Linked DNA regions of Nothobranchius furzeri. The protein of the gene in region 1 purifies or fractionates together with the protein of each later gene. This does not show direct contact. Links are inferred from orthologs where the notes say so. Each region holds a gene or a part of one and is shown on either strand. Other genes may lie near its edges.

Region 1 (15,746 bases):
TCTGACATTTTGTCCACATAAAAAACATTCGTCATTAGTTTTATTTTTGCAGAGAAATAAAGGGATGTTGCATAAGTAACACCGTATAACTAATTACAAAAACACTTTCGTGGTTTCTACGCTTGATAAACCAGACTTAATTAAAAAAAATACTGCCAATTTAAGGTCCGAAACCCTCCATCATACCGAGAACAGTGACTGGTGCTTTCCTCTGCTCAGGTGCCAGGCCATACTCGGTCTGCAACTCCTCTTGTTGAATCCGGGCCTGTTGTAAGATTTTCCTTGACAGACGTTCATCCACGTAGGTGTCCTCACTTTCGACCCGGGCGTCTCGATTCTTCACCCGGCCTCGGGCTCGGATCGTGTCCGCCTGGAGGATCTGGTCGGCCAGTGGCACCGCTCCTCCTCCGCCACTCTTCTCTCCTCCACCGCCACCTTTAGCTCTTTTCACTTTCGGCATCTTTCAAGAGTGACTCAAGCTGCGACGACGCTGTCCGTGTTTTGTTTTACCATTAGAGACACAAACAACGCGGAGAAAGAATTCTGTAAACAGTCTGTATTCTACACGTGCAGATTACCGTACGGCGGAAGTGACGATATACGTAACGTCTGTGCACTGAAAAACATATATATAACATACCATTTTATATGATGTTGATTTTATATGTTTGTATGTAACATACATTTATGCAATATGATTATAAAGTTTCTTGAGTTTGTTTTTTAATTTTCTGAAACAAGGTCGTTTACGTGCACCGGAAGTGTAAATGTTAATCCGGAAGTAATTGCTTCACGAGTGTTTTTTGCAGGCGAGAAATCAATGGGTGTTACTTGGTAAGCAGATTTACTTATGTTGTAGTTAAATGCTAACTGTAATAATATTTTTGTAATATATTTTATCACGCTGTGCATATGATTTCGTTTGGCATGTGTAGCTAACTCGGTGAATGTAGCCTTTATTTGCTTCCAAACCGTTTTACACTGAATAGAATAGTGTTTATTGTCGTTGTACGGTGTACAGCGAAATTAGAGTGCCACTCTCTTTAGTGCAAAATGGAAAACTATACAAAAAATAATACAGAAATAATATAAATGTAAAATGAACAGTAATATATATATTAGTTGGGTTCAGTAAGCAGAATTTTAGCATATTGAGTAAACAGAAATAGGACATTCAAATGTTATTGCACATGATCAATTTTGAACAGGTTGCTTCACGGTGTTGTGTTGTTCTTGTGCTGTGCAGTGTTTGCCAGGTGCCCGTGGCGGAGGGGAAGAGTGTCCAACAGACAGTGGACATTCTGCATAAGAAGCTGGAGCAGCTTGGAGCTGTGAAGCAGGGCAACTTCTGTGTAGACTGTGAAACATATCAATCAACAGTAAACGCTGGCGGTAATTTTCAGCTATTAACCATATAAATATTATCATTCCTGTTGTTTAGGTGCTTTAGATGGATAGTCTTCTGCATTGCTATTAATACAACTTGCTGCAGGGGAATTTGTCATATTTCTTTGATTAAATTCTGCTTTTTGAAAATGTTCTAATAATTATGTCAAATATTTGACTTAAACTCAATTGTCCAGGATATGTGTGCCTTGTGACAAATATATTGTCAAGCTATGTAATTTTCATTTTTACTGATCTTATTTCTCTGTAAGGTTAACAAAAACAGTCATCCATTGGGTAAAAATAGCCAGATTAAAATACAGTTGGTGTGTTTTAGAAAGGTTTTCTGTAAATCTTCATTACTATGTTATGCAAGGTTAAATGAGCCACGTTTCCACTGTATCTTTCCCCAGAAGTCAGGAACATTTAAAAAGCCCCATCCACTGCAAGAATCCGCTTAAATTTGTTTAAATGGGACAGCAGTAGCTCAGGAGGTAGAGCGGGTTGTCCAGAAGGTTGCAGGTTCGATCCCGGCTCAGACCAAAGAATTCTGCTGTTGTGTCCTTGGGCAAGACACTTAACCTGCCTTGCCTGCTGGTGGTTGTCAGAGGGGCCGATGGCACCAGTGCTCAGCAGCCTCGCCTTTGTCAGTGCGCCTCAGGGCATCTGTAGTGACATCATAGCTCATTCCCACCAGCGTGTGAATGTGTGTGTGTGAGTGACTGTGTTGTGAAGTGCTTTGGGGGGATGTAGAACCCTGTGAAGGTGCTATACAAACACAGGCCATTTACATTAAGCTCCTTGAAAAATAGTTTTTATTTTTATGTTTTATAAACATCCGCAACCCGGGGTCTATAAACGTTTGATTTGGCATTTATCTTTCTAAGTTACTACTAGTCTTTTTTTTCCAGGTTTCCACCAATGAGTCCATTAGCAGAGCAGTAAATCATGATCTAATTTAGCTCAAGTGTCCTCCAGAAAAAAAGGTGTCTGCTCTCGCATCCCTCATAAGCAACATTTATATAAACAGGACATGGTATGATTCTACTACTTACTTGTGTAATTTTAAACTTAATAAGCATGCTGCTCTAATCTGTGTCCAAAAATAAAAAAATCATGCAAAGTCATTATGCAAAAATTGCATTGTTACATTTTGCTGTTCTTCATGCAATTTCTCACTTTAAGTCTGGGTTTGTTACAGGTCAGCCCTCCAAGCTCCTTTATGTAATGCACAACTCTGAATTTCCCCTGAGCTGCTTGGCTCTGTTTGAAGGAGGACCCTGTTTGGTAGCGGACACAAACTTTGACGTCCTCATGGTGAAGCTGAAGACCCATTTCCAGAATGCCAAGGGACACAAGGTGGAGTGTCGCGGTTCGAGATATCGCTACTGTGACTTCTTGATTAAAGTTGGCACGGTCACAATGAGTTCCAGTGTTCGAGGGATATCAGTGGAGGTGACAGTTTGGTATTATCAGTTAGACCAGAGGCCCATTGTTCTCTTTTTTGACAGGATTAACCCTTGATGTGTTTTCCTCAGGTGGAGTACTGTCCCTGTGTGGTTCCAGGGGACTGCTGGAACCTCATGAAGGAGTTCATGCTGTCTTTTCTTGGCAACAATGTTCCTGAGCTTCCCACTGTATTTGCTGCCAAGCCTGAGGGTCTTTTTGCACCAGCAGACTCTGTCGACACCATGACTCAGTACCTGGAGTTGTTCAACAAGCTACGGAAGTTACAAATCACAGGAAGCAATGTGCACTAATAACATTTTTTAATGATTGTATTGATGTGTGTTAAATGTGGTCCTATGGAAACCGTATGATTTGTATAGTTCTATTTTTGTAACTTCAGTTTTGTATTTGTTTACCCTGATACAGTTAAAAGGAATACAGCTACAATCTATAGATGCAAATGCTCAACACAGACAAAAATAAAGACAAAAATCTACCTATTTCTGCAAGAAGTAAAAATTCCTTACACTCGGTGGGGAAATGTTGGTGTCACAGCAGCAATCATTCACATCAGGAGCAAAGAAGAACAAAATCCTGTAACATATGCAAGAAATTCTTAAAACATTCAATCGAATAAAAAAAATCTGTGCAGATAGACGAAGTTTATAATGAGGAGTGATGGCATGAAAGGAGAAATGTGTAAATAGGGACCTGGGATTACTCTCCGTGCACCAATGGATGCAGCATTCTGCCGCTGTAGGAGTTCCCCAGCTTCATGCATGGGGTGGAAGACATTGTGTAAAAGTGATGCTAATTTAGCCAGTCCTGTATCCCACCTCCTGCACTAGATCAAGGAGAAATCCTAGGGCAGATGTAGTGTCAATAAGCTTATCTAGTCTCTGTCTTTCAGCAGTAGCTATGCTGCTGACCTAACAAACCACACCATCAAAGATGGCTGATGCCACCATTTAGTCAAGGTCTGTAGGAGCACCCCCTGCACTCCAATGGACCTCAGTGGCATCAGCGGGTAGTGTGCTCTGGCCCTTACTGAAGAATATCTGTGTTATGGCCTCAGTTTGCTGTTCAGGTGAACACCCAGGTCATTATAAGAGTCCACTACCTCAATGTCTGTTCCCTGGATGTTCACCGGTCCCTAACCCAAAGACCTGAAGGTTTGATTAGAACACAAAACAAGAACTCCCACATGCACTTCAACAAATCACTTAATTCACATTCAAGAGTGAGATGCTTCTTATCAATAACATTATTTAGGAATGTAAAGAAAAGTCATCTAATGAGACTTAATTCAAAATAAAGACCAAAGTTAAAAATGTACATGAAATACATGTGGGGAGAAGATGTAAAAACTAAGTTGAAATGTTTCCATATTTGAAGTTAGAACAGTTTAACCCTTCACATGTCTGACGCATTAAATTAAAATACACACACGTTATAAAATGAACAGTTTACTGGACTATATAACTAAATGACTTAGTGATTACATTATTTATGTAATTAAATATAACTGTATAATTATTATTACCTGTCGCCTGTAATACACAGGTCTTCCACTAGAGGAAAACAGACGTGTTCACTGCAGGTTTCTGATGATAGTATCTCTTTGAGTAGTTCTGATGATAGTATCTCTTTGAGTAGTTATGTTCTTGCTGTGCAGAAAAGTAACCGCTTGCTGCTCTAGTGTCTCGGGCTCTTTGTCTGACGCCTCTCCTGCTGCGTCGTGATCTTCTACTGCTTTTGCGTAGCTTCTGTGTCGGGTTTCCACCATTATCACCAAATCCTCTCGTCTAGTATATTGTTCAAGTTCATCAACTCTTTGCTCTTAGGCCGAAATCTTCTTATCTTCAGTTAGCAGTATTTTAAGCTCCTTCACCTCCTCCATCAGTCTCATTAATCGATCCTGCTGTGATGTTACTTTTGACCTCCTCCAGGTCTTCTGTGGCCATTTCTTTACCTCGTCCACCCGCTCTTCCTCCTGGCATCTCTTCCACTCATCTGCAACCGTCGTCCTCTGGTCCCGTGCTCATCGCGACACGATGAATGTTGTTGGGCCTGCTTGGCTCAGCAGCACCCCTCGGCGCTGCTGGGGGCCGGGCCGATGGAACCGCGCCGGGCTCAGGGTAGTACAAATCTTATTAAAGAGATAAATCTCTCATAAACGTAGTTATTTTAAAATTAAATATTTAGTTTTTCATTGTTCTATATTTTACAAATATTAAAGATGTGTAACAATTTTTCACTTATAATACTCCTATGCATTTATTGTCTATGTGGCAAAATATCTAGTTTTCTTTTTAAACAATTACTAGTATTTACAATAATTTAATACTTTGCAATATTTAAGAAATTGTTTTGGCAAATACTGAAATGCTTTTCTCACAATAACTAAATGTCTTTTTTTTTACTTTTTTTTTTTTTTTACAAATATACAGACGACCTTTACCATATACAACATGACCTAGCTACTATAGATAATTGTTTTGTTTTGTTAGATGCAAATGCAAATGTAGCATATCATGAGTTCTATAAACAGCCCAACATATAAATTCCATTCATTAGGCTTTTCATAAACATTAGAATGTTTGTATCATTTGTTTATTTATGTGTCACACTTGTTACAAAACTTTGTTTTACCGCCTCTTCAGCCCCTTGAAGCCAGCACTCCTCCCCCCTGTTCCCCGGTATGCAGCACGGCCCCAGCCTCGGTTATTGTTCCATGTGGCCTCGGTGGGTGGGTGGGTGGGCGGACGGACGGACGGTCCATCCTGCCGCCTGTTGTTCCGCAGTTGGACCAATGAGAGCCCGGCTTCCGATCAGCCCCGGTCCAATGAGAGCAGTGGGGTCTGAGCTCGGATAGAGTTGGGTTGTTCAATCTGTGCGGAGGACAACAAGCCGCAGCTCTCAGAGTACCGGATGGATGGATAGGTGGATCAGTGTCGGCGATGTTAACAACACCGATCTCTTTCTGACGTCGGACTTTCTAACAAGCCTCGTTTCAGCCGCGTAACCGGCTCGGTGAGGTGAATGTCACCGGGGTAGTTTTTAAAAGGTTAACGGCGCAGTTTGCTCGCGAGCTAAGCCATTAGTTAGCGAACAACAACAACCATTAGATTAACTTCGATTGTCTTCGGCAGGAGCGTTAGCAGCGCGGCTAATGCAAGTTATATTTAAGCTAACAGTGTGTACTTCGAGCAAATAACATAATCTGTGATTAACCAAGCGTGTTTATTCGCGCCGCTTCGCTCGTGGCTAACCCACGGAGCCGAGCCGCTGTAGCTAGCGGTTAGCCGGGCTGCCTCCAACCAACAAAGTTATTGGAGGTTCCTGGAGAGAGTGGCTCCGTGTTCTTTGTTCTGGCTGAACATGGTGATGGTGGAGTAGCTTAGCATGGCGTTAAGGAGTCAGCCTGTCCGAGCCACGCTGCAGCAGTTAACACAAACACAGCAGAAAGTGGTTTAAATGAAAAATGTTAGCAGCTCGATGCGATTATAGAAGACCGTTAACATGCATGGCGGCGGCAGCTCAACATAACAGGGGTTTAAACTAACAAGGAACCAGTTGCTGCGACCCGAGGCAGCGATGGTGCCTGCAGCATCTGATTTGTCCATAAACTCTAGTTTCCAAATAAACAAATCCGCCAAGCTTTGTAACGATGTTGCTTTAGTGAATCACATTTTAAATTAAGTTTCATAAAGTTCAGAATATTAACGCTGAAAGACAGAAAAATAAGCAAATTTCTGATTCAAACTTGTTGTCAGGGTTAGAATTATTTTCTTTAGTGTTTCAGCAAAGCTCACGATCAGTCCAGCAATTGATCTAAAGCTACACCAGTTTTGTTTTAAATAACATCTTATTTATTTTCCTTTGTATATATGCATATTTTATTATTATTATTTTAACTTTGAGACAGACCTAGATCTAGGGATGAAAAATGTAGTTTCCTGGTGATTAATGAATCCTTTTTTGCACTGGTGTTAACCCTATTTGTTGTCTCACCTTGTAACTAATTAATTGACTTAGACGTTCATCGCTGACACGTTTTATGCAACTGTAATCCTTGTTTTTCAGACCCGTCCTGATGGTGCTGGTGGTGACCGTGGGCAGAGCTGAAGTTGCTGCTGAGCTCCGAAGATGATGTGATCTTTTGTCCCAAACCTGATCAAGCTAAATAGTTTTATTGTTAGTTTTTATTCAGTTATTCTCTACAGCATAACGTGTTTAATCTTCATTGTGGTTTTGTGAACAGTCATTTATTATTTCTTTCAGAATGAGTTGCTGTTTGGCTGAAGGACGTGCGTCCTTTCACTGAGGCCACATGTGTGTCTGGAGAGATGGACCGCTGTAAACACGTGGGACGCCTTCGTCTAGGCGAGGACCATTCTATTCTCAATCCTCAGAAATGGCACTGTGTGGAGTGCAGCACTACAGATTCGGTGTGGGCCTGCCTCAAGTGCTCCCATGTGGCCTGTGGACGCTTCATGGAGGAACACTCGCTCAAACACTTCCAGGAGTCCCAACACCCATTGGCTATGGAGGTGCGGGAGCTGGATGTCTTCTGCTTTGCCTGTGGAGACTATGTACTCAATGACAATGCAGAAGGAGACCTCAAACTCCTCAGAGGGGCCCTGTCTACAGTTCGGAGCCCAGGTAGACGCTCGCTGCGCTCTTCCACCGGGGGGGAAGGCGGACCGCAGCCAGCCATGCAGCTGGCCTTTCGCCACAGGAGGAAAGTGCTCATGAGGAAGATGCTCCAGATGTGGATGAGCAAACACCAGGAGCTTCAGAGTCAGTGCAAAGAGAAACTGGAGGAAGCTAGGAGACAAAAGAAGGAGGTAAAGAGGAGACTTATGGAAGAACTTGTTAGTGTTCCTCCCAGAAAGAGTGCCAGGCTTCTAACTCAGGCGCCACGTTCAACCATCACACTCGTTCCTCGCAAATTTCGCGACCCACCTGAACGCCTACCTCCTGTTCCTCCTCCTAAGAAGCCTTCGATTCTTGCTGTGCCCCGCAAGGCTCCCCGGAATGGCAGAGCCACCAAACTGAGGAGATACTACTCCACACATGCTGTAACACGAAGGAAACTTGCTCCAGGTGTCACTGGTCTGCGTAACTTGGGGAACACATGCTACATGAACTCGATATTGCAAGTGCTGAGCCACCTGCAGAAATTCAGGGAGTGTTTTCTCACTTTGGACCTATGTGAGACAGAGGAGCTGCTAGCCAAGACCAATCACTCCCAGGGAGTGAAGGCCATGCCTGGGGGGGTTGTCAGTGGGAACACACCACTGTCAGATTTACCTCTGGGACGTATGGGGAAGGCGGGCTGTTGGAATTTGCCTGTGGCTAATAAAGAAAGTGTCCCTCCTTCCTCCCAGGCAGCAGAACTGGTCCAGCCCAAGGAGCCTCGCTGCTCCACTCGCCAGCAAATGTCTCTGTGCCATGAGTTGCATACACTTTTCAGGGTCATGTGGTCAGGCCGGTGGTCTCTGGTCTCTCCCTTTGCCATGCTGCACTCCGTGTGGAACCTCATTCCAGCTTTCCGTGGTTACGACCAGCAAGATGCCCAGGAGTTCCTGTGTGAGCTACTGGACAAGGTGCAGCAAGAGCTGGACACGGACGGGTCAAAACGGCGGATTGTCATTCCCATCACAAAGAGGAAGCTCTCGAAGCAAGTGCTGAAGGTTCTCAACACCATCTTTCACGGGCAGCTCCTCAGCCAGGTTAGTGGATCAGTTCTGTAATGCTGAGTCATGAAAGCGTGCTTGAAAAGTTGTAGAAATTTGGAAAATAAAGAAAGAAAACTTATCATGATGCGCTTCACAAGAACAAAAATTAAGATAAAAAAAAAATTAAATCTACGAATGAGATCAATGAAAAAATTTTGATTTAAAAATGAAAGGGAAAGAGAAAACGAACAAGAAAGAGGGAATCCCAGGAAAGGCGGAGTTGGTAGAAAGAGCTGAATAAGGGGAGGGAAGTGATGAAGGTCCCACCAAAGCCAGTATGAACAAGTGAGTTTTCAGCTGCTTTTTGAAGGAGACCACTGAGTCCACTGATCCCAGGCTCCACAGTTTCAGAGTCTGGGGGCCACAGCAGCAAATGATCTGTCACCCTTGGTCTTTAGCCTGGTGCTGCACAACCAGTAGGCTTTGGTCACTGGACCTCAGGGACCTGCTGGGGGTGTAGGGACTAAGAAGATCACCAATTTAAGATGGTGCTTGTCTATTGAAGGCCCTAAAGCAAGCAGTAGTCTTAAGTGTGAGGAGATGAAGGTTGTGGATAACGATCTCAAGTTCAGAGTGAGACAGAATGGGCCTCAGCAATGTTCCTGAGATGGAAGAAGGAAGAGCCAACAAGAGAACTGACATGAGAATCCAGGGTGAGTGCTGGGTCAAAGGTCACACCAATATTCCTGACAGAAGGTTTGGTGTGGGAAGCAAGCTGACCAAGAGAGTCTCTGACTTTGGGAACCAGCTTGTCTGGGGCACAGATGAGGATCTCAGTCTTATCTTCATTCAGCTGTAGAAAGCTCCCAGCCATCCAGGCTTTGATAGAGTCTAAGCAGGAGTGTAACAGCTGCAGCTTAGACATCTCATGGGGCTTAAAGGAGATGTACAGTTGGATGTCATCTGCATAAAGATGGTAGGAGATTCCCTTAAAGGAGCTCAGGATCTGTTGAAGAGTAAGCAGCTAGAGGAGGAAGAGTAGGGGCCCTTCAGACACCATGGGTGAGGGAGGTCGTGGAGGACCAAAACTTAAAGATGGCTATATAGAAGGAACGTTCAGAAAGATAAGGGGAGAACCACTCCAGTGCAGGGTCCTCATTTATCAAGCTTGCTTACGCACAAAGCAGGGTCGGAAAACTGCGTAAGCAACTTTCCACGCAAACTTTGGGATTTATAAAAGAAAACGGAGTGGAAAAATGTGCACAACTTTAAGTTGACTAAGGACCTGGCTTACGCACATTTTGGACATGGAGAGCACCTGCAGTGCTGCTGCTGAGAAGGATAAAATTATGAATTCCAGCAGCATTATCACTTGTACCGCTTCGTGCGCACACAGAACAAATGAAAAACACCTGAGCACATTTTTAGGTAGTTTGTGATTTATAAAGCGGAGATTGTGTGAAGCTGTGCATGCTCCATGTTTTATAGGTCACAAACTAACATGGCGTAAGTAAATTTTTTTTTGCTGAGCTTAATTACGGTTTTAGTAAGGATTCTATGCAATGTTTTATAAATGAGACCCCTGGTCCTGATAGGCCTTCCCAGTCTCTTAGCTTCTCCAGTAGCAGGTGATGGTCAACAGTGTCAAAGGCTGCAGTCAAGTTCAGCAGAACCAGAACAGAACAGTCCCCTGCATCACTGTGAGTCAGAAGGTCATTAGAGACCCTAAGAAGAGCGGTTTCAGTAGAATGAGCTCTACGAAAACTTGACTGGAAGCTATCATAGATGTTATGTTCATCAAGAGCAGCTGTGAGTTGTTAAGCCACAACCTTTTCCAAGATCTTGGAGATGAACGGAAGTTTAGAGATGTATCTGAAGCTGCTATGGAGAAAGGCGTCAAGACTCGTTTTTTTTAAGAAGCGGGTGAATTACAGCATTTTTAAAGAAAGCAGGGACCTGACCAGAATTCAGAGAAGCATTAATTATAGAGAGCACGCTGGAACCGATGGACTGAAAAGCACTTTTAAACAAAGATGAGGGTAAGATGTTGAGGGGGCATGCAGAGGTCTTCATAGAGTTAACTAGTTTGGTTAACTCAGGCAAAGAAACAGGAGCAAAGCTATCTAGGATGATGGGCCTGGTTGGAGTCGGGAGAGGCAGCAATAAGGCTGAAGGAGAGATGCTAGATCTAACCTTATTGACTTTGTCCACAAAGAAAGACAGAAAGTTCTCACAGTCTGTAACAGAGTGGATGGAGGCTGTAGGAGAGGCAGGAGAGACGATTCTGCTGATGGTATTAAACAGCACCTTGGGGTTCCCTTTGCTCTGGGACACCAGGTTGGAGAAATAGGAAACCCTCGCGTCTCTGACTGCAGAGTTAAAGGATGTCAGAAGGTCATTTAGATGGAGCACATGGAGACAGGTTTCCTTCCACAAGCTCTCAATTTTTCTGCTTCGATGCTTCAGGCTGCGAATGCTGTCATTAAATCAGGGTGTAGGGTTCACTGCAGGAACTGATCTGGTTCTGACAGGACAGATGTTGTTCAGAATAGAGCTTGTTAAACTGAGAGGTTAAAAAATCTGGGTCATAATCAGAAGAACAGGGGGAATTAAAATCAGCTGAAAATTTGCTAGTTGTGCTCTCGATATGAAAACGAGAAGTTACAGAAAATGCAATGGTGATTTGATATAAACGTCCTTGGGACAAACACTGTCATTATTTAAACCCATGGTAAAAACAAGGCCCAGAATGTGCCCCCTGGTGTGTGTGGGTCCGGAAGCATGCTGAGCAAAGCTGAAGGAGTCCATGAGGCTGGAGAAGTGGTCTGAGGCATCATCAGTGTGGATAGGGATGGGTACCTTTGACATTTGAATCGATCCGGTACTAATACCCGGTACCTACGAATCGATACCGGTACTTAACGGTACCAATTTTCGATACTTTTGAGTGTTTATTATTTTAATTCTCTTTTATAATTACATTTATATTTTTCTCAATATATAACAATATTTGATAAATATCACGATAAATAACATTCAACTGTTTGTATTTTAACATCGTCCTTGTAGTTTTATAAGCTGATAATTTAACTGAAGCAAACATCTTTACTGTGAACTAAATTTACTGTGCATCTTCTTTCCTTTTGCCGTCTTTTTTCATTTGATTTTTCCTACTGGGAAGTTAGAATTTCCGAGGAGAAAGCGAACGCACCATTAGCTGATAACAACGGTCGCAATGGAAGCTAACATATCAAGCTAACGTTATCTTTAACAGTTTATTTAACTGCTGGAGCAGATTAAAATGATGATGCCTCACACTTAGATCGTTGTCGCTGGTTTCATCTTCACCCAATCACCCGTTGCATTTAGTAAAGTGAAGCCAAACTTTAGAGCGCGTTCATGTTTATCTAGTCAGAAATTTGGAGTTCCGAGGAGAAAGCGAACGCACCATTAGCGAAATAGAAGCTAACATATCAAGGTAACGTTATCTTAAACATTTTATTTACCTACCGGAGCAGATTAAGATGAGGATGTCTCACTTAGATCTTTGTCGCTGGTTTCATCATCACCCAGTTACCCATCACATTTAGTGAAGTGGACCCAAGCATTAGCGTGCATTCTTTCTACCCATGCTGCTCTGTTTACAACTCGCTCGCAGGGGCCGACGACATAACGCTCTTGCGCATGCGCAGCTGTCTTGGCAAGTTCTCGTTATGAAGGACGGGTACCGAAACGAGGCACCTTTTGAAATGACGTGAATCGGTGCTCGGTCGGTACTATGGAATTCGGTCGGTACCTTAAAAAGTACCGAATTCGGTACCCATCCCTAAGTGTGGATGTTAAAATCACCAACAATCACCAGTATGAACAGCTTCACAGTGGAGGATTAAAAGTCACTAAACTCCTGAAGGAAAGAATGATAAACCACAGGACAGTAAAATATGTCTTTACCATCAACATATATACTAGACAATTCATGTCCATAGGCTCAAATTAAAATGTTTTTGTTCCCAATTGGGAGGTTCCCACCACCGCCGTTTTGACCGTGTCACAGGTCCCGTCACGCTCAGACAATCTAAAAATAGGAAACAGGGTGAAACAGTGTAGCTACTAGCTAACTTAGCTAAGCTAAGAAGGAGCTTCTTGGGCCGGGATGTCCGCCGTTGTTGATTGTCCCTTCTCCAGGAGCCAAAGATCAGCGGGACATTAGCCACATACTAACTCAAAGTTAATGGAGTTTTTCTGGTCGTTTTCATTAAGAAAAATGCGCTTGAGCGACTCAAAAGTGAAGCAGCGTCAACAAAAAGAGCCGCAGTGTTTTTGTGGTCTCCCTCAGAGATCCACCATTGACCAGCATGACTACAGCCTCGCTTCGGAGCCGGCCTGGCTGCCCCGGGAAACGGGAACAGCCAGCCTCCTGCTATTCTCAGGCAGGAGACAGGAGAAGCTGGACAACCGCTCAAGGTTCTTATGCAGCCCCACTAACATGTTTGACCAAGCAGGTAAATGACACAGCATTTCCCCCATTCAACCAATGAAATGAAGTATAGAAATATAAATGTACTTACTGATTAAAAAAAAGCAGAAACTGCTTGAATGGTCTTTTAGCGCAGTCAATAACCACACATCTTTCCTTTTTGTCCAACTAGTTCCATGATTTACATTCAAACACAAACACACAGAAAAAAACTAAAGTTCAGAGAGTCGAAATGGCTGAACATCTATTAACGTGAGGCCGAGGCCTGGGCTGAGGCCTTTCTCCAGAGCTAGTGCTAAACTCACGTGGATGCTCATTAATTGTTCAAATTTTTAAGATTAAATAACACTTAGCATAGCATAGTTTATTTATATAGCACATTTAAAACGCAGCATGGGAGCTGCCCAAAGTGCTGCACAGGCTAAAACAAAACACAACCATTTGAGCAGAAGAGTTACAAAAAATGTCACCATCTCAGAGTTATTAATGTAAACTAGATATATTAAACCTAAAATGGGTTTTTGAACCAGGCTGTAAATATGTTTATTTCTGCTGTAAAATTGGCATTTTTACCATGGGAGTCGATGAGGATTTGTTCACTTCTGCTGCCAGACCCTTGCGGATGAAAGTGGAACTGCAATTTTTGTCACTTCCTAGTTGGCATCAAATTTGTTGCAGAATTGTGGCGGCTTGGTCCTTGCGCCCAACTTAAATCAGCTGCAGTTCAAAGGAAGCAAATCGACCAGAGAAAGATCTACATGCAAGATGGTCTCTACAAACAATAGCTATGCCGCCACCTTTACTAGAACCCCGGGGCTGGCTAAGGAATGAATAACCACTCGGGCAGAGTTCAGTCAGACCAGGATAATGAGATGTTTGCTGCTAAACTTCAGTTTGAAACAGAAAATTCAAGATTTTAGAGAGGATTAGATCATTGAGCAGGAATGACTTATTGGAGTGGGTATTTAATAAAGCCATGCTAAGTGAGGTGGAGGAATCAGAAACTACAGAAACAGGTGGACTTAGTGGACATAAATGAGCAGGATTAGATCCACACAAGGCTGAAGTTAGCTTCCAATTCCAGCTTCCGATTCAGGAAATGGCTAAAGGGCAATTAGACTCAATTTTTCTCTACTCTGACCATCTTTAATTTGCTCTAGCTCAAAAACTACAACACCTACACTCTTCAAACCCGTACTAAATTATTCTAGACTAATAGCAAATTATGTAAAACATAGTTTGTGATTTGTGAAACCTTTTTCTGACGTTGTTTTGAAAATGGCAGTAAAGTCTGGTCAGGACTAATAAATTCTTCTCCAAATTTGGGTTGTTCCAAGAGTTCTGTTACAGGTGGGATATAGTTTAAATAAAGGAAAGAAAGAAAACGATTTTTATATAGCGCCTCTCAAGATTAAAACAGTGAGGCGCTTCACATAAACAAAAAACGATCAAAGTACAAATAAGATAAAAAGAAACGATCAAAAATATGTTCAAAATGAGAAAAATATTTAAATTGTGATAAAAAAATAATAATGTAAGGAAGGGAGAGAGGGAAAATGAATAGGAAAGCAGGAAATCAGTGGATCACTGTAACGGTAGAATGAGTAGAAAGAGCAGATACATTCTTTTACAGTCAAGAGGCGTGTTTAACAGTTTAACTGGCTGCTAATATTGTTAGATTAACTCAAAGCTGTTTTTACTTTTTTACGATCGGTTCTGTTCCAGTCACACAAAGTTCTGGCTGCATTATAATCACCCTTCTCTCTTGCCCTAGTTCCTGTGTTGTGCTGTGATGTTTCTCCACCATGCAGTTAGACTTAAAAATAAAATAAGTAGATTATTCACTTGTTTTCCATGTGATTTCTCTCCTCTTCTGGTCTTTACCAAACAGCATGAACCTGATCTTTTTTCCCCCTCCTACTTATTGTCTTCATGTCTTAGGTGACGTGTTTGTCCTGTAAGCACAAGTCCAACACAGTAGAGCCATTCTGGGATTTATCTTTGGAGTTTCCAGTGCGGTACCACAGTACAAACAAAGGCTCTGGCTCTACAGCTTACCAGCGTAGCTGCACCCTGGTGGAGATGCTCTCCAAGTTTACAGAGATGGAGGCTCTTGAAGGCAACATCTACGCCTGCAACCACTGCAACAGTCAGTACAATTACGTGTATTATTCTAATAAACACAACCTTTTTAGGCGGTTCTATTATTTACCAGGTTTAATGGTTGATAACAGAATGGATAGGTCGATCTAATAAAGGCTGCTTTTACTTTTCAGCAAACATGGAAACCAGGCTTACAAAGCACTGGTGGAAACCCTGTAAACATAACTTGACGGCATGTGATTGTGCTACAATGTCCCAAAAACACCTCAACTACAGCCTTGCGTTTATGAATCCTGTTAATTTTTATTATTAGACTTCCTGGTTGCTATTTTAAAGGGGTTCTAGAACAACTTTTTATTTATTTATTTTTTTTACAATAGGCACGGATTTCTTGAGCCTCCATAAAGTATACAAAACTTATGGCTGTTCAGTTATGACAAAAATGATAACAATTACTTCATTTGATATTGAGATCTCAGTTATTTAATACAGTCTTTATGTAATAACACAAACTTTTTGAACTTCAAATGTAGCTTTTAAAGAGGCCATATAATGGAAAATCCTCTTTTTGGAGCTTTTTACCACGTGATATTGTTATTTCTAGGAACGTGTCGATCATGTTTTTTGCTCTTAATCTGATTCTGAGT
Region 2 (15,792 bases), on another chromosome or scaffold:
ACACACTCTGCTTTTGGTTGCACGCAGACTAGCCGTTAGCTTGTCATGCCTGTGTCAACAGTACACCCTGTTTCTCTGAACAGAGGCTTTTCATGAAGGTATTTACAGCAGTTAAGACAGAGATTAATTCTAACTTTTACACTGAAACACACATAAAAATGGCCTGTTAACCTATTTAAGCAGTGAAGGTGCAGCGTATACTGTAGGCTCCAGGAAGGGTTAGTTTCAGTGTAAGAGAAATGGTTGATATCTCGGATTCTGACAGATTTTTACATTTTACAGCTTTAAAAACTTTAATTTCCTTTAACCCTGCAGTCCAAACAAACCCACACTCAGCTACAGTTTGTGCAGACACCAACCATTTCAATATAAACACCTCCAGCCTTTGCATCCCATCAGCCCAAGTATACAGTAAAACAGCACCAGTTCTGTGTAATGTTTACATCCTTCTATGGAAATCCACCCACCGGTTTCCTAAAGCACTCAGCCAGCAGAGAACGAGACGTGTTGTCTTTGGCACTTGAGACACAACTCAGCTGATCCTGTTTGGCTCAAGGCTGCAAAATATGAAACCATTACCAACTTAGACGCACGAGATAGATTTGCTGTTAAAAGTTGATTTTTCCACTAAAGTCACTTGCAAGCCCAATAAATATAGCTTAAACCATTTGAGTAAAATAAATGTTCATTTACAAATATTTATCTTTCAAGTAAAACTCCAACAGTTAAAATGTGGGGAATTTTCATATGTTTTGTTATTAATGCATGAAGGACCTCCATTCAGTAAAATTAAATCTTATTTTGTTTTAACAGTTTATTAGCTTGTTATTTCATTGTGTTTTGTACATGAATGACAGATTTGTGTAGTCTAAACAATCAGACTTTAGTTAGCTTAGACGTGTCCAGGCTGCTCCAGGAAAGGATGATAAAGTGGTCAAACAGAAAACAGTGTCTTGTCTGTCTCAACATTTTAATGCTGTGATTTGTCAAACTGTGAAACATTTTATCTTGAGTAAATGTAGAAACCATTCAGGGAAAATTAATGATACTTCAGTAGCTTGATGAGGTAAAATAGTTTTTATCACTCAATATTTTTGTGCTAAAATCCCTTTTAAAAATTCCTTTTCATGTAATTTTTTAAGAAATTTTCTAATTTGACACCACATGAGTAATGACCAGAATAGAAATGTGTTGTGGATGTCGAGGCCAAAAAAAATATCTAATTATAACTCATTACTAAAACAAATATTAGAAAGCATGAATTAATTTAAACACAGAAATGTGCAAAAGTTTTTCATCTGAACACAAATTAAAAAGCACACTTTTAATGAGACAGGTGAATCTATTCAATATAATAATAATAATCATCTAGATAATATGTGATAATGTATGTTATTTAAAGGTGTGGAACACTGAAAAACATCTTTCAATGATTATTTCTGATTATAATCAGTTCCTCTGAGTTTTTCATGCAGGCATTAGCTTGTGATAGAAAATACACTCAACAAAATATAAACACAACACCTTTGTTTCTGCTCCGATTTTTCATGAGATGGACTTAAAGATCTAAAATTCATTCCAGATACACAATATTACCATTTCTCTCAAACATTGTTCACAAATCAGTCTAAATGTGCGATAGTGAGCACTTCTGCTTTGCTGAGATAATCCATCCCACCTCGCAGGTGTGCCACATCAATATGCTGATCCGACATCATGAGTAGTGCACAGGTGTACCTTATACTGCCCACAATAAAAGGCCACCCTGGAATGTGCAGTTTTGTCTCACAGCAAAATGCCACAGATGCCACAAGCATTGAGGGAGCGTGCAATTGGCATGCTGACAGCAGGAATATCAACCAAATCTGTTGCTCGTGCAATGAATGTTCATTTCTCCACCATAACCTGTCTCCAAAGGCGTTTCAGAGAATATGGCAGTACATCCAACCGGCCTCACAACCGCAGACGACGTGTAACCACACCAGCCCAGGACCTCCACATTCAGCAGGTTCACCTCCAAGATCGTCTGAGACCAGCCACTCAGACAGCTGCTGAAACAAAACTGTCAGAAACCGTCTCAGGGAAGCTCAACTGCATGCTCGTCGTCCTCATCGGGGTCTTGACCTGACTCCAGCTCAATTCTCCATCAACTGCAAGATGCTATCCTATCAATATGGGCCAACATTTCTAAAGAATGCTTTCAGCACCTTATTGAATCAATGCCACATAGAATTAAGGCACTTCTGATGGTGAAAGGGGGTTAAACACTGTATGGTGTTCCTTATAATCCTTTAGGTGAGTGTATATGCAGATGACATTCAGCTTAACTGCTCCTTTAAAGATTCTGAGTTCTACAGTATAAACTGTCTGAATTACTAGAATGTCTTTCAGCTATCACCAGCTAACTAGAAGAAAACTTCCTCCTGTTAAACTCTGAAAAGACTGAATGTCTGGTCATTGCCCCTAAGAGCATGGTTCCCCTGATTAGCCTAAAATTTGGTCATTTATCCTCTGCCGTCAAGACAAACTTGAGAAATTTGGGTGTTGTTTTTGAGCAATCAATGTCTCTTGAAGGCCACTCAAAATCATTGACTACGTTTACATGCAGCCAATATCCGGGTTATGATCGGGTTAAGGTCGGTATTCAGGTTTCTGAGTTGATCAGAATAACCCATTTACAAGCATAAATAGAAAGAGTTACCCCTGACTTGCATAACCCGATTTAAATGCGGACGTTGGGGTAGCGTCAGGACGTATGGACTACGTCAAGACGCAATATGCTGTTCCCTTCTTGTATATTTCGCTGTCTCTGTACTTTCGGCCATCAACAAAAGACATAATGTTCATACTTTTCACCAGACCGATGAAGACAGAGGTTTCCTCGTCACTTCAAAAGTGTGGTGCTGTGCCGCGACTCGCTATGTTGCTCCCAACTTGTTGTTTACTTCCGGTGTTCTGGCACATACAAGACGTCTCGCTATTCAAAAGACCAAGATTCTTTGCGAACAGAGCATGCGCAGAACACACGCTTTGATGGGGATGTCCCGATATGCGTTTACACGACCAAACATTTGGGTTAGAAAAGGGTTACCCCAGGTGTAGTAACCGGGTTTTTAAAAACCCGGTTATGAGCATTTCCGGGTTTTTGGCGGTGTTTACATGGCCGTGCGGAACCGGGTTATTGTGAATATTCAGGTTTTAAAAGGGTTACTGGCTGCATGTAAACACACTGATTGGTCCGAAACAGTTTTTATCACTTAAGAAATATCTCCAAACTGCGAAGGTTGGTGTCAAAACATGAACTTGAAATGGTCATCCATGCCTTTATCTCCTCCCATCTAGATTACTGTAACACACTTTTCACATGATTTTTGACCGCCTTCAGTTGGTCCAGAACTCTGCAGCAAGGCTCCTAACTGGAGCAAACAGAAGAGCACACATCTCTCCTAATGACTCTGCACTGGTTAGCTATTAACTTTAGAGTTCAGTTTAAAATACTGATTCTAACTTTCAATGCTCTGTATCAGGGCAATTCAATTCAGGACCTCAAGGGCCGGTATCCAGCACGTTTTGGTTTTAACCCTGCTTTAACACACCTGATTTCAATAAGTGGGTGATTAACAGGCTTCTGCAGGTCCTGATGGGCTGCTGCACAGGTTATTCACCCACTGTGTTGGACCAGAGAAACCACTAAAATGGGCTGGATACCAACCGTCAAGGCCCTGAATTGTAAAGCCCTGCTCTTCCTGGTCAAGCTCCAACCCGAGACCCCAGGTCCACAAACCAAAACCTTCTAGAAGATCCAAAGACCAGATATAAAAGTCGAGGTGATTGGGCCTTCCAAACTGTTGCACCCCGCCTTTGGAAAGATCTTCCTTTATCCTTATGTAGCATTGACAGTCTGGTCACCTTTAAAAATCTGCTGAAGACCCTTTTATATAAAGCTGCTTTCACAGAAATCTTTTGTTTTCTTATTATTAACAAAAAATTGTAATAATCTTTGTTTAATGAAATTTTATAATTTTATGACTTTAATTTTTTCTGATTTTAATCTATTTCTATTTTGAGATCATAATGTTTTATGTTGTTTTGATCTATGTGAAGCCCTTTGTGATTCAATGTCTGTGATGGGTGCTATATAAATAAAATTTACTTACTACTTGTTGGTTTAGTGTCCAGGAAACAGCAGAGAATGCCTCGACTAGTAGAAGCTAACCGTTAGCATTAATGACTCTACTACAAAGCAGAACTCCTTCAGACTTGTATTATTTGTGGAGATAAAACATCAACGTTGCAGAGTGAACGGAGTCAGTGGCAGAGTCACATAGCTGTTATCCAATCAGAGATGAGATGTCCAAATATGACACATATGACTCCAAATCCCATCGTCTGAAGATCAGCTGTGATGTGGCTCACTTCTAGTTCCTGAACCTGGCGCACCAGAGTTTTTTTTGTTTTTTTTTTTTTACCCAGAGTATGACTTACAAGGCTTTCATTCCTACTGGAGAGAACTGCAAATGTATTGATTGGACGAATGTTTCACTCCTTTAAAATACAGGGTGGCTTTCTCTCTGGTAATAAAAATATATTTGCATTTTAACAAATTCATGCTAAAAATAAAATTAGATGAGAGTTTAAAAAAAACAGGAGCTAAATGTTTTTTTAAAGTGAAACACTATTTGCTCACAATGTTTTTAGTCTTGACTGAACCCTGCACATGTATTAAAGTATGATGAGACCCTCTGGTGTTGCTTCTGCACCACAAACCACCAATCAAGCCCCTCCACCTACAGCCTCATTTCCCAGAGTAAACGCAGCACCACAATGGGCTGCAGCGGTTAGTTGGAAGACAACAGACACAGCCCAGCTCGCTGGTCCAGGCTCACTGTTCCTGTGATAGCGTGCTCACACTGGCTTTTGAGCCTCAGCTCTGTTTATAGAGGGGGCAACCTGTTTACAAGATCCTGAGTTTACACTCAAGAAATGAGCTTTAACGCGTCAAAGACGGAAATGGCTATTTAAATTGGCTTACCTCTTGCAAAAGGCAGATTACAAAAATATCAGGAGTTGCAGGTTTGGAGCCCAGATCTGGACGTCTGTTTTGTTTCAGGTTTACAAACGGAAACAGTTTAATTGTTTTATTGTCAGCAACTCTCGGAGGAAAAACCAGACAAGCTACAGTTTTGAGTCATGTTGCAATTCCCTCAAACACAGAGCGTAAAGGTTGAACTTTTAAGGCAAGGCCAATAAGACTGGCATAACTATGAACCATTTAGAACGAGATCAATACAGTGGGGCAAAAAAGGTTTTCCCACTTAAAAAGATGAGGAAGGTCTGTAATTGATATCATTAGAGATGCATCAATACCACTTTTTTTCCAAACCGATACGATACCGATACTTGAATCTGATTACTTGCCGATACATATTACCGATACTTCTACCACACAAAAAATACAATGAACTGGAATACAGGTTTAATTTAATTTTCTGCTTTCAACAGGAAAAGACTGTGATGTAGATTATATATATATATATATATATATATATATATATATATATATATATATATATATATATATATATATAGATAGATAGATAGATAGATATAGATATGTATATGTATATATATACATACATACATTAATAAAAATGATCACAAAACTAAAATTTTAGGTGAACAGAAATGACAAGTTACAGTGAAGCCACTTTCAGGCAGCTGCATTGCTATCGGTTCCTTGTATTGGTTAACTTTTATCGATACCGATACCAGTATCGCATCGGTGCATTCCTAGTTACAGTTTGCTTCAACTATGAGACAGAATGTAAAAAATCCTGGAAGTCACACTGTAAAATTTTCTAAGAAATTATTTGTATCATGGTGCAGAAGATACATATTTAGTGCCTACATATGTGCAATAATTCTGGTCCTCACATACCTGTTACTTCTTCTTTAAGAAGCTTATCTATCCTCCACTTGCTGACTGAATTAGTGGCAACTGGTATCTGTATAAAAGACACCTGTCTACACCTTCAGTCAGTCAGACTCCACCATGGCCAAGACCAGAGAGTTGACAAACGACATCAGTGTCAGGATTGTACACCTGCACAAGATTGGCTTGAGTAAATCCACAACAGGTAAGCAACTTGGTGGGAAGAGATCAACTGTTGCAGCAATTATTAGAAACTGGAATAAATACAAAATCACTGACAGTATTCCTCGACCTGTGGCTCTGTGTAAGATCTCACCTTGTGGGGTACAAATGATCTTGAGAATGGTGAGGAAACAGTCCAGAAGTACATATGGGGAATTAGTGAATGACCTGAAGAGAGCTGGCACCACAGTGACAAAGGTTACTACTGGTAACATACTACATTGTTATAGATTAAAATCCTGTGGCACTCAAAAAGTCCTGGCGATGTTAGAACATCCACAACTTAGTTTAGAGAAAGAAGATTTTTCCTATGAAAGAGCACTCTTTGGTGGGCAAAAACTAAAAGCAGCACTTTTTGGCAACTCTGAACTCTGGCTGCTTAGAATTTCTGAAAGTTAAGATTTAACTGGGCTTGGAATAATAGTTTTATAAAGCAGCTTGAACGTATGAGACTTTAACAGCTGGTGGAGAGGGTGTCCCCCCACCCCAAAATTTTTTTTAAAACAAAATCAAGATTTGAGGTTCATAAAGACCTTGTGAGTGTTACATTAGCACGTGAAGTCATTAGAATAATTCTCTATGTCCAAATTCACCAGATATTGAAAATTTTAGGAGAATTTAGGTACCTTACATAATATACAGGCCCTTTCTTCTTCTTTATGCAATGGTGATGTGTCAGAATATTTTTGATTCATCATTGGTTTGTATGTGTATATATATATATATATATATATATATACCGGGCATATGTATATCCATCCATATGTATAATATAGACTGTGGTATCAGTTATGAACACGAGGTGGCAATAGTGCTCTAATTGACTGCATAGAGCAATGACAACGACCGGGTAAGCGGCCTTGAAGAAGTAACATTAACCAACCAGATCTCGCCTAACTGCTGCCTGGCAACCAGCGACCAATAGGATTCCTGGTGTGTGAGCGCGGATAAACGGATTTGTTGTGTTTGCTGGAAGCTGTAGCCACATAGCATTCAGAATAACATTTGGTTTAAAGGTTTTATAAATTCACCTGGAATGAGTTTATCTCTAAGGTAAGGAGCTAACCTTTTGTCGCGAGATGTGGCTGTTACAGTTCAGTTGAAACCGGTGGTACGTCGAGATTTGTTCCCCAGTTGAAAAACGTACGCCTTCGCTTGTCTCGTCAAGATGATTTCGTCCTGCCAAATTGTACAATTATAGGCGTAGATGTTATTTTTTTTATCAGGATAAGACATTTATGAGGGAACGAGTCCCTTGTGTATAACTGTAAATTGAGTAATATTATCTAATTGTATCGTAATCTGAATTAGATTAGAATTAGTGATATTCACTAAACATGATGAATTTCACAGCTACAGCAATGACCAAATGATTAAGATATATATTTTTAGGGATTTTCTTGAAATAATATTGCTAAACACAACAGTTTACAAAGAAGCTGGCGGAGAAACGGTGGGGGACCCGAATGTACTAGTTTTTTGTTTTGTTTTGTTTTTTTCCATCTGTCAATAAACAATTTCCCCCAGACTTTTGGAGGTCCTCCCAATGTTTTTGGTAAATGTGGGTTGTTTTTGTTGTTGTTGTTGTTGTTCAGCAGAGGCTTTGGAGAATGAGGTTTACCTTATTGTTGACACATGACCTTAAACCTTAACCAAGTTTGACCTACAAAGCTTTAGATGTTCTTCTGGGTTATTTTGCTTTTGATTTTTTTTAGAACAAGGCATAAGGTAGATTTTTTTAAGATCCTTTAGCCTACCCTGTGTCATCAGAGAGACCCCAATAAACATTACAGAAAATGGTTTAGTTCTCATTGGATAACAAAGTGTATGGGTTAATGCATTAATAAGTCATGGCTGTGATACAGGTAGTGTCTGAGGTGAGACTGCATGTGTGTTTGTTTCAGCAGAACTGATCTTGCAGCTGAGACAACCAAGCGCAAGAAGAGGAGGGAGCTCACCGAGGACCAAAAGCATGAAATTAAAGAAGCTTTTGACTTATTTGACACGGATAAAGATAAGGAGATTGACTATCACGAGCTGAAGGTAAGAAAATGGGCCATAGTGGTGGTTGTTATGGTTACCTTATGGTTTTTGTGCCTGAAATAATGCCGTATATAAGTTATGCTTTTATAACCTCATCATTCCTATTTTTCTTTAACTGCTGTGAATGTGGAGCACCAGGTATTTATGTATTATTATGTAAGTAAAAGTAACTAAATACCATTTAATCACCTTTTGGAGAAACGCTAATGGGTTTTCCATGTCTGAAGGCACCCTGCTGAAATAAAGCTCCAGGGGAATTGGAGCTAACGTTCTACAGCAATAACATTTATTTGTTGTTTTAGTGCTAGTTACTAATTGTTCTAATCCTGAATTCAAACCAAAACAACATTTAAACATCTTGTCAGGTGGCGATGCGCGCTCTCGGTTTTGAAGTGAAGAAAGTGGATGTTCTGAAGATTCTGAAGGATTACGACAGAGAGGGAAGTGGGAAAATCACCTTTGAGGATTTCAGCGAAGTGGGTAAGGTGGTCATCGGCTCTGGTATTACCTCATAGCTTGAGGTGCTTCATTAGCTACTAAACCTTTTCCCTACCCCTCAACAGTTACGGATCGCATCTTGGAGCGAGATCCCAAAGAGGAGATCATGAAGGCTTTCAAGCTGTTTGACGATGACGAGTCAGGAAAGATCAGCCTGAGGAACCTGAGACGGGTTGCTCGAGAACTCGGGGAGAACATCAGCGACGAGGAGCTACGCAGCATGATCGACGAGTTTGACACAGACGGGGATGGAGAAAGTAAGACCGGAGTCTGAGATGAGAGCAACTCTGTCTCTCTTTTGTTGTGATTTTGTGTCTGATTAGAGCCGCAGATGCAACAATACCAACATCATCACTGCATCTTCTGGCACACACAGGCATTTTAATTATTTATATGATTGTTCCTAACATTGTTGCTTTCACTGTTAGACCAGATCCTGTCACGTCAGCAGGCATCTGCTGCCCTGGAACAAAATAGATTTACTAACGACAATGTGTAAACATGTTCAGTTAAAGTAACAAAAATCCACTGCTGCTTCGCTTTTTGTTTGTTTTCTTTCATTCTTGCGTCTAAGCTTTCCAGGTAAATCCAGTAGATCTGACCAGGTGTTTTTCCCTTCTTTTCAGTAAATCAGGAGGAGTTCCTCTCCATCATGACCAGAGACCCATGAAGAGGTTTCCCCATCTGTAAGTTGGACTCTTTGCCCATATTGGGAGGAGATATGGGCCTTGTTCTCTTGCTTCTGAGGTGGACTGGACTTTATCAGGAGCCTGGAGCTTTGTTCTGACTTGGTTTGATAAATAAAAGCACCAGATCGTGTCTGGACCAACATCTGCTCACACTGCTCAGTTCCTCTCGTAGACATGAAGTGTCAATATGATGCTGACCTGCTGGCATTTCTTTAAGAAGCGAGCTTTTATTCATGGAGTGTGTTTGTGTAGAAGACGAGTCTGAAGCTCCGTTAGGAACGTGTTAATGTGATGTAGTAAAACACAGAAGATCAGATCTGTTTCACTCGTATCCTATTTGACCTGTTGCAGTTATTAGTTAAATGTGGCATATTTATTTTTAAATTGTTTTGCCAACCCTACTCATTTGTCATTTCCCAAAGAGCCAGAGTCGTCAGACCCGGCACCATCATACTTTAATAAAGTACTTTCAAAGTTCAGCATCATGTTTGAATGGTTGTTTTGTGTTTGACATGTGCGGTGGCCACAGAAGAGGCAGGAGAGCTTCAGAGTTTCTAGTAAAACACGATAAATTTAGTGTTAAACATGAAATACACACCCCTCAGAAGGTTTGCTCCAGGCTTCAGGAAAGGATAACAGTTGTTGAACCTCAGAATCAGGATTGTGGCTTTTGTCCAGTTCACTGAACACCGGATCAGTTTGTTGCCGAGGTAATCCAGTCCACGTGTGTTTGGTTAGTATCTACATTCTTAGCGGGGATGCATGGATCCCTTTAGGACCATGTAAAACCAAAAGAAGAGGTCCGTCCATGTTCCCAGTGTTGAGAAACTTTAATGTCATGGTTCTGCTGTGGTTTAAACCATGGCCGTTGGGGTGCTCTGGGCCAGTTCACAGTCAGGAGATTCAGCTTCTCCAACTATAAGGTCATGGTTCTGAATCGGATAAAGGTGGAATGGTTCATCTGGGTTTAGAGAAGAGGAGGAGTTTGTGTATGTTGGTGTCTTCTTCACACGTGGATCATGGCCTCAGCTGCAGCAATGGCACAGTTTCTCTGGGTCGTCGGGGCAAGAAGGAGGAGCTGAAAGGAGAATGTCTCCATTTACTTGTGCATCCTCCAGCCTATACGGCCACAGGACTTACCCCTCTTTACCAAATGAAGTCATCTAAGGTGGTCTGGGCATCTGATTAGAATGCCTGCTAGTTACAGCCATCGCAGAACATCCGGGCGCTGGAAAGACATCTTGGGCCTGACCCAGGACTCTCCGGAGTGGACATGTGTTCTCTCTAGCCTGCAAACATATTTGGGAGGAGCTAGTGAGAGTTGCTGAGAAGAGGGAGGTCTGTAATTCCCTCCTGGACTATCACCTCCACGATTGACAGATGGATGGATTGATTTACAACTCTGCAATGAAATAGGACGTCATCTGACTCCTGAACCTAATCGTTTTTGCAGCATGGGGTTATTGATTCCTTCAGGTTCTTCCTAAACATTCCAGAACTGGAACATCTTCAAAGTACATCCTAACATCGCACAGGTGATGGATGGATATTAAAGTAAACACCCGCCAGTTAAACTGTAAGAGACAGAACTGCTGTCAACAAGTAGAGCTCAGTCATTACAGGGAAAACGCTCAACTAAGACGCTAACTCCTGCTAACCGGGGCTGCATGTGGAGAAAGCTAGCCTGGCAAGCCAGACTAAATAAATGTATTATTTAGTCTGGCCATGCTCCATTGACGGCTCTCGGTTGTGGGGCGGGTTCTACCGTTGTCTTTCAAATGATCTCCGCATTCCACTGACTGGACAATGAATGTGACATACTCTTGTTTCACTCTGTTGCATCATCCCACCCACCAGGCATATAGAGTGCCCTGATTGGCCCACAAAGCGGATAAAGCTCTGTGATTTGTTCACCAAGCAGATAGAGCACTGTGATTGGCCCACCATTATGGACCAATCACAGCTCTTTATGTGTTTGAAACCCCTCTAGAGAGCTGTGATTGGCTAGCCAGAGTCCTGGTAGGAGCTGCTGAGGTTCCAATGGAGCGTGCCTAGACCAAACTTTGCAAAGCAAGAATTTGGTCTAGTTCACTAGGCTAGGAGAAAGCCGGACCAGTGCGCAGAAGCTACTGCTTAAAACAAGCAGATGCTCTCTCCTGGACCTGAGAAGCTCCCTGCTGCACTCTAATGGTCCACTAGATGGAGACATTAACTCAGGACTACCGCCAAGAATCAACTGTCAGGTCCACATAATCAGTCTGGTCTTTGGGAGTCTCGAGGTGGATTATCAGACCTTGCTGGGTTGAACTGTGAGCCAGTAAAACTATCTGTAACATTTAAAATATGACACTTGTTAAAGGATAATTAAAAGCAAAAACATTTATAGGCCTACTGTGATGGTGCATCTGCATTACCAATAAGTTGAAAGTCCAGGATGAGTTGTGTTTGCCGAAGCTATCAGAAGAACAGCTGTTTTATTTTATTATAGTTCAAATAATAAAAACGGGCTTACAGTTCTAATGACATGAAAACAGACAGGGCATTATGGTTATACTGATTTATCCATCAAACTTGATTTTCGTAACTTTTATAAGTTGCTCATTATTTTCTCACACTAACACACAACACAACAGGAGACGATGAATAATTCAAAAGCATCAAGCTGACTTTCATCCATGTTCCTGGAATATTTGCAGGTGTAGATGATAAATTAGCATTTAGCAGATTGGTGTTGGAATCACGCTGAATTGGTAGCTAGGTATTCTCACTCTTCTCACATTTTCTAAGCTGACAGGTGACCAAATGTAGATGTGATCCTGACGAGTGGGATGCCTGAGAGAACATTTGTGTTTTCGACATGTTTGAAATTCCAGCAACATGACGGAGCGGCTCTGAGACTCGTGAGGAAGAACTGGAAACCAGCACAAACATTTTGGAAACTTAAAAAGTACGTATGCTGTTTGTTATGATAACTGAAAAATAAAAGTACCCTAAACACAAGTCTGATTTAGCTGGAGCAATAAACTGTTTCATGAACAACATTTGTATGTCGCAAAATTAGATGAAAACATTTGTTCAATGTCTTATTTATTGTCTCCAGTTAATCTGTGTTATTGATGGGGGTCTCCTTCTATTGTCTGACATTTCACACCAATTCTGACTCAAAGTGAATAAAGACGGGGCCAGGACTGGCTCCAGACGTCTGTGACAGCTCGGAGACAGTTTTGAAGAAGATCAAAGTTCCACCATCATGACAGCAAGACCCAAAGAATCCTCACAGATGTTTCAAGCCATTTTGGAAACTTCATCAGTCACAGTCCAGAGATAATGATCATGTTAGAAAGGTCCCATGCTGAAGTGATGGGCTTCTGTATCAGCTCCTGCTCAGACCACAAAGGCAGAGCCACAAACCCCTTTAGGAGGATCCTCGTGAGAGGCTCCCTGTCATTAGCCTCTGCAGGCCTTCCAGGCTGCTCCGGATCAAGGTCTCTGGTGGTGAGCTGCTTCACTGTCCCCGCTCCCGTCTGCTGCCCACAAGAGGACCAGGACTGTGGCTCACTAACCAGTAATAACAGCCGCCCGTCTCACAATGACAGAGTCGGGGATGCTGTGGTTTCTCGGCAGACAGCAGAACTCTCTAGAAGGGTAAACTGGAAGTAAAGCAGTGATGAGCGGCTGGGAAACTGTGTGTGTGTGTGTGTGCGTGCGTGTGTGTGCGTGTGTGTGCATGCACATTCAGGCTGAAGGTCAGCCCTAACGTTGGTTATCAGAACCTGCATCTGGTCTTCTCAGCAGGGATCGAGACTCGCCCTTGTCCTGGCACATGCTCAGCTGTTGGTCCCTGGACCGGAGCGACGCATGTTCCAGAAATAACCCAACCCAGTTCCTCCCCAGCTACAACCTCAAAGCCCCCCAACACACACACACACCCCAGTGGTTTCTACTTTACGACTCTACACAAACGCACAGCCTTTTGTATTGCTAGTATAGTGATCTTTGCCGATGAGACTCCTAAAAATACGTTGGACCGGCGGGGTTCTGCCGGTTCTGGTTAAGATGTGATGGCAACGCTTCCTTAACGCTTTGATTTCTGATGGGCCAACAGGATGAGGGCACATTTACTGAAGCCCTTTAAACTTTGGCTACTTTGTCGATGTGATGAAAATTCAGCATGTGCACTCTGGCAGAAGAAAACTCAGAGACAGAACAGAAAACAGCGGGAAAAACGAACTAGAGCTACGTTTAAAGTAATGCAACAACCGCTGACAACCAAACTTTATTCATTTAAAAGATATTGAAGTAAACGTAGCATCATATGTATTTAATAAAGAGAAAATGTTCATATAAAGGAGGCAAAAACTATTCACTAAAATGATATGAAAACAGTCCTTCAGCACACACATCTTCTAAATATTTCCTTAAAATGCCACTCTCATCCTCACCCACACTGCTCCTCCAGCTGTTGCTGAGTTCTGTAGCTTGTATGAGAATTTGATCCATCTCGTTGGGATATGAAGTATTTGTCAGGATACAACTGGAGACAGAGAGGCATCTATGAAAATGGAGCCAAAGCAAACATTTGATCAGGTGAAATTAGCTCAGAAAAACTCCAGAGCTACATTAATGAGCCTCAATCATAAACTGCCTATCAGACGAAGATGAGTAAAGAAGTCAATCTGAATTTTCAGGAATTATCCGAACTCATCGCTGGCCTATTTCTAACTTATACCAGCATATGTGTAGCAAATGTGTGTGTGTGTGAGTGTGTGTGTGTGTGTGTGTGTGTGTGTGTGTGTGTGTGTGTGTGTGTGTGTGTGTGTGTGTGTGTGTGTGTGTGTGTGTGTGTGTGTGCCGTGGGTGTAACTATCAAGTGTCTGATTGATAACTAGAGTCAGATTTCAGCTTGAGTGTTCACCTGTCAGTCATTAGGCGTAGCTATGCCAACCATGTGACAACATTTCCCCTTTGACCTGCTCTAGCATTGGTCTGGTCCATACAGAATATTTGTTTTCATTTGTTATTTAATTTGTTAGGATACAATGTTCAGCCAGATTTGTTCACAAGTCAAAAGCATAATTTTAGCATTTCAGTAAACACTTTTGAAATGTTTAAAGTCATGTCAATAATTGACAAACCACAGATTTTATTGTCCAGGTTTTTATTTAATTCCAGGGATCTGATATATATAGAACATAAAAGATTAAACTACAAATTAAATATCTCCAAAAAATAATAATGTTTTCTAAACTAGCCTACATTTTAGATTCAAAGTTAAAGATAATTTAAACTAGTCATTTTTTAGTCCTACAATATAGAATTTTAGAAACTGTCATATCTATTCATTTACTTTTCATATGCTTAGTTATTTATTATTACCCCTTTTATTGACCCAGATGAAAAATAATAGAATCACATGTAGTTACAAATAAATCACATCAGTGTGAAACATAGAAATCAATAGAGATCCAAAATCGGGTTCCATGAAGCTAAAGTGCCCCCCGGTTGTGTAGGACTTGCCTCCACATCGTGAGTGAGCAGACTCTGGTTATAAAGACACAACATGGCGGTCCCTGTGAACGAGCTTTAGTTTTCATCAACAAAAATAGGTCAAGATCTAATCTTTTAACGCAACTCAATGTTTTGTGCAGTGACGATCTTTTCACATTTAACTTGTTTTTTTTAAAACGTGTCCATGACTAAATATGCAATTTAGGATTTAGAGCTCTTCTTTAATGGTGATGGAGCTCAAAGCGTGGCATGGTGATTACATCATATCTGATTATAAATTTCCCCAGAATAATCTTTGATACGTGTGAATCAGAGACGGTCAATGTGATGGAGGACGTCTCTCAGGCCGGCAGACACAGACGCGGGGAGGAAATGCTCCGAGACATGCTGTGGACCGTGGACTATGCCTGGCAGTTGGGTGAGGTTGGATTAGTTTACACACGCTCATGGCTTTCACTGTAATTGTATCTCCTGGATTTGCCAGCTTCACCCAGCCTGCATCACAAAGCAGCAGAGCCTCTCGGAGAACCCAAAACCCGTTTTTGCATTTTCGACCTCCTTACATGTTGTCAGAGGAAAATTAAGCACCACCTCACTGTGGTGCTGAGACATTTTTAGAGGATTACAGAAGGAGTGGATGAAGAAATGATTCCAGGAATAATATTTTTAGGGTTTTTCCTTCACTCCTCACACATCTGGTTCTCTTATTGCTTCTGTCTGTGCTTGTTTGCGTTTCTGCAGCGCCTCATCTGGCCGTCCGCACTGAGAGGGGAGAAGGAAGGTCACAGGCAAACACAGGAGCTGTTCTGGAAATGATCTGGTGATGCAGCAGCCATGCTTGTGATATAGAAAAATGTTTTTAATTTCACCCCCATCTTCGCCAACCTACGTACAACTTAA

What was found.
Region 2: the proteins of usp49 (region 1) and cetn3 purify together in Homo sapiens (affinity purification with mass spectrometry; 4 studies listed by BioGRID and IntAct, with this or other methods). This does not show direct contact. The link is inferred for Nothobranchius furzeri from reciprocal best matches to the Homo sapiens genes USP49 and CETN3.

Annotation. Positions count from the first base shown.
Region 1 is NC_091743.1:46,651,997-46,667,742, forward strand, and holds the start of usp49 (ubiquitin carboxyl-terminal hydrolase 49), read left to right. Parts: upstream 1-5,722; 5' UTR 5,723-5,873; intron 5,874-6,921; 5' UTR 6,922-7,032; intron 7,033-7,119; 5' UTR 7,120-7,184; coding exon 7,185-8,573; intron 8,574-14,937; coding exon 14,938-15,145; intron 15,146-15,746. Other genes in the region: bysl (bystin), read right to left, coding at 187-460; med20 (mediator of RNA polymerase II transcription subunit 20), read left to right, coding at 821-834, 1,247-1,392, 2,588-2,841, 2,925-3,146. UniProt on the Homo sapiens protein: Deubiquitinase that plays a role in several cellular processes including transcriptional regulation, cell cycle progression or innate immunity.
Region 2 is NC_091746.1:37,898,444-37,914,235, forward strand, and holds cetn3 (centrin-3), read left to right. Parts: upstream 1-7,046; 5' UTR 7,047-7,190; coding exon 7,191-7,207; intron 7,208-8,058; coding exon 8,059-8,197; intron 8,198-8,562; coding exon 8,563-8,677; intron 8,678-8,760; coding exon 8,761-8,952; intron 8,953-9,321; coding exon 9,322-9,365; 3' UTR 9,366-9,863; downstream 9,864-15,792. UniProt on the Homo sapiens protein: Plays a fundamental role in microtubule-organizing center structure and function. As a component of the TREX-2 complex, involved in the export of mRNAs to the cytoplasm through the nuclear pores.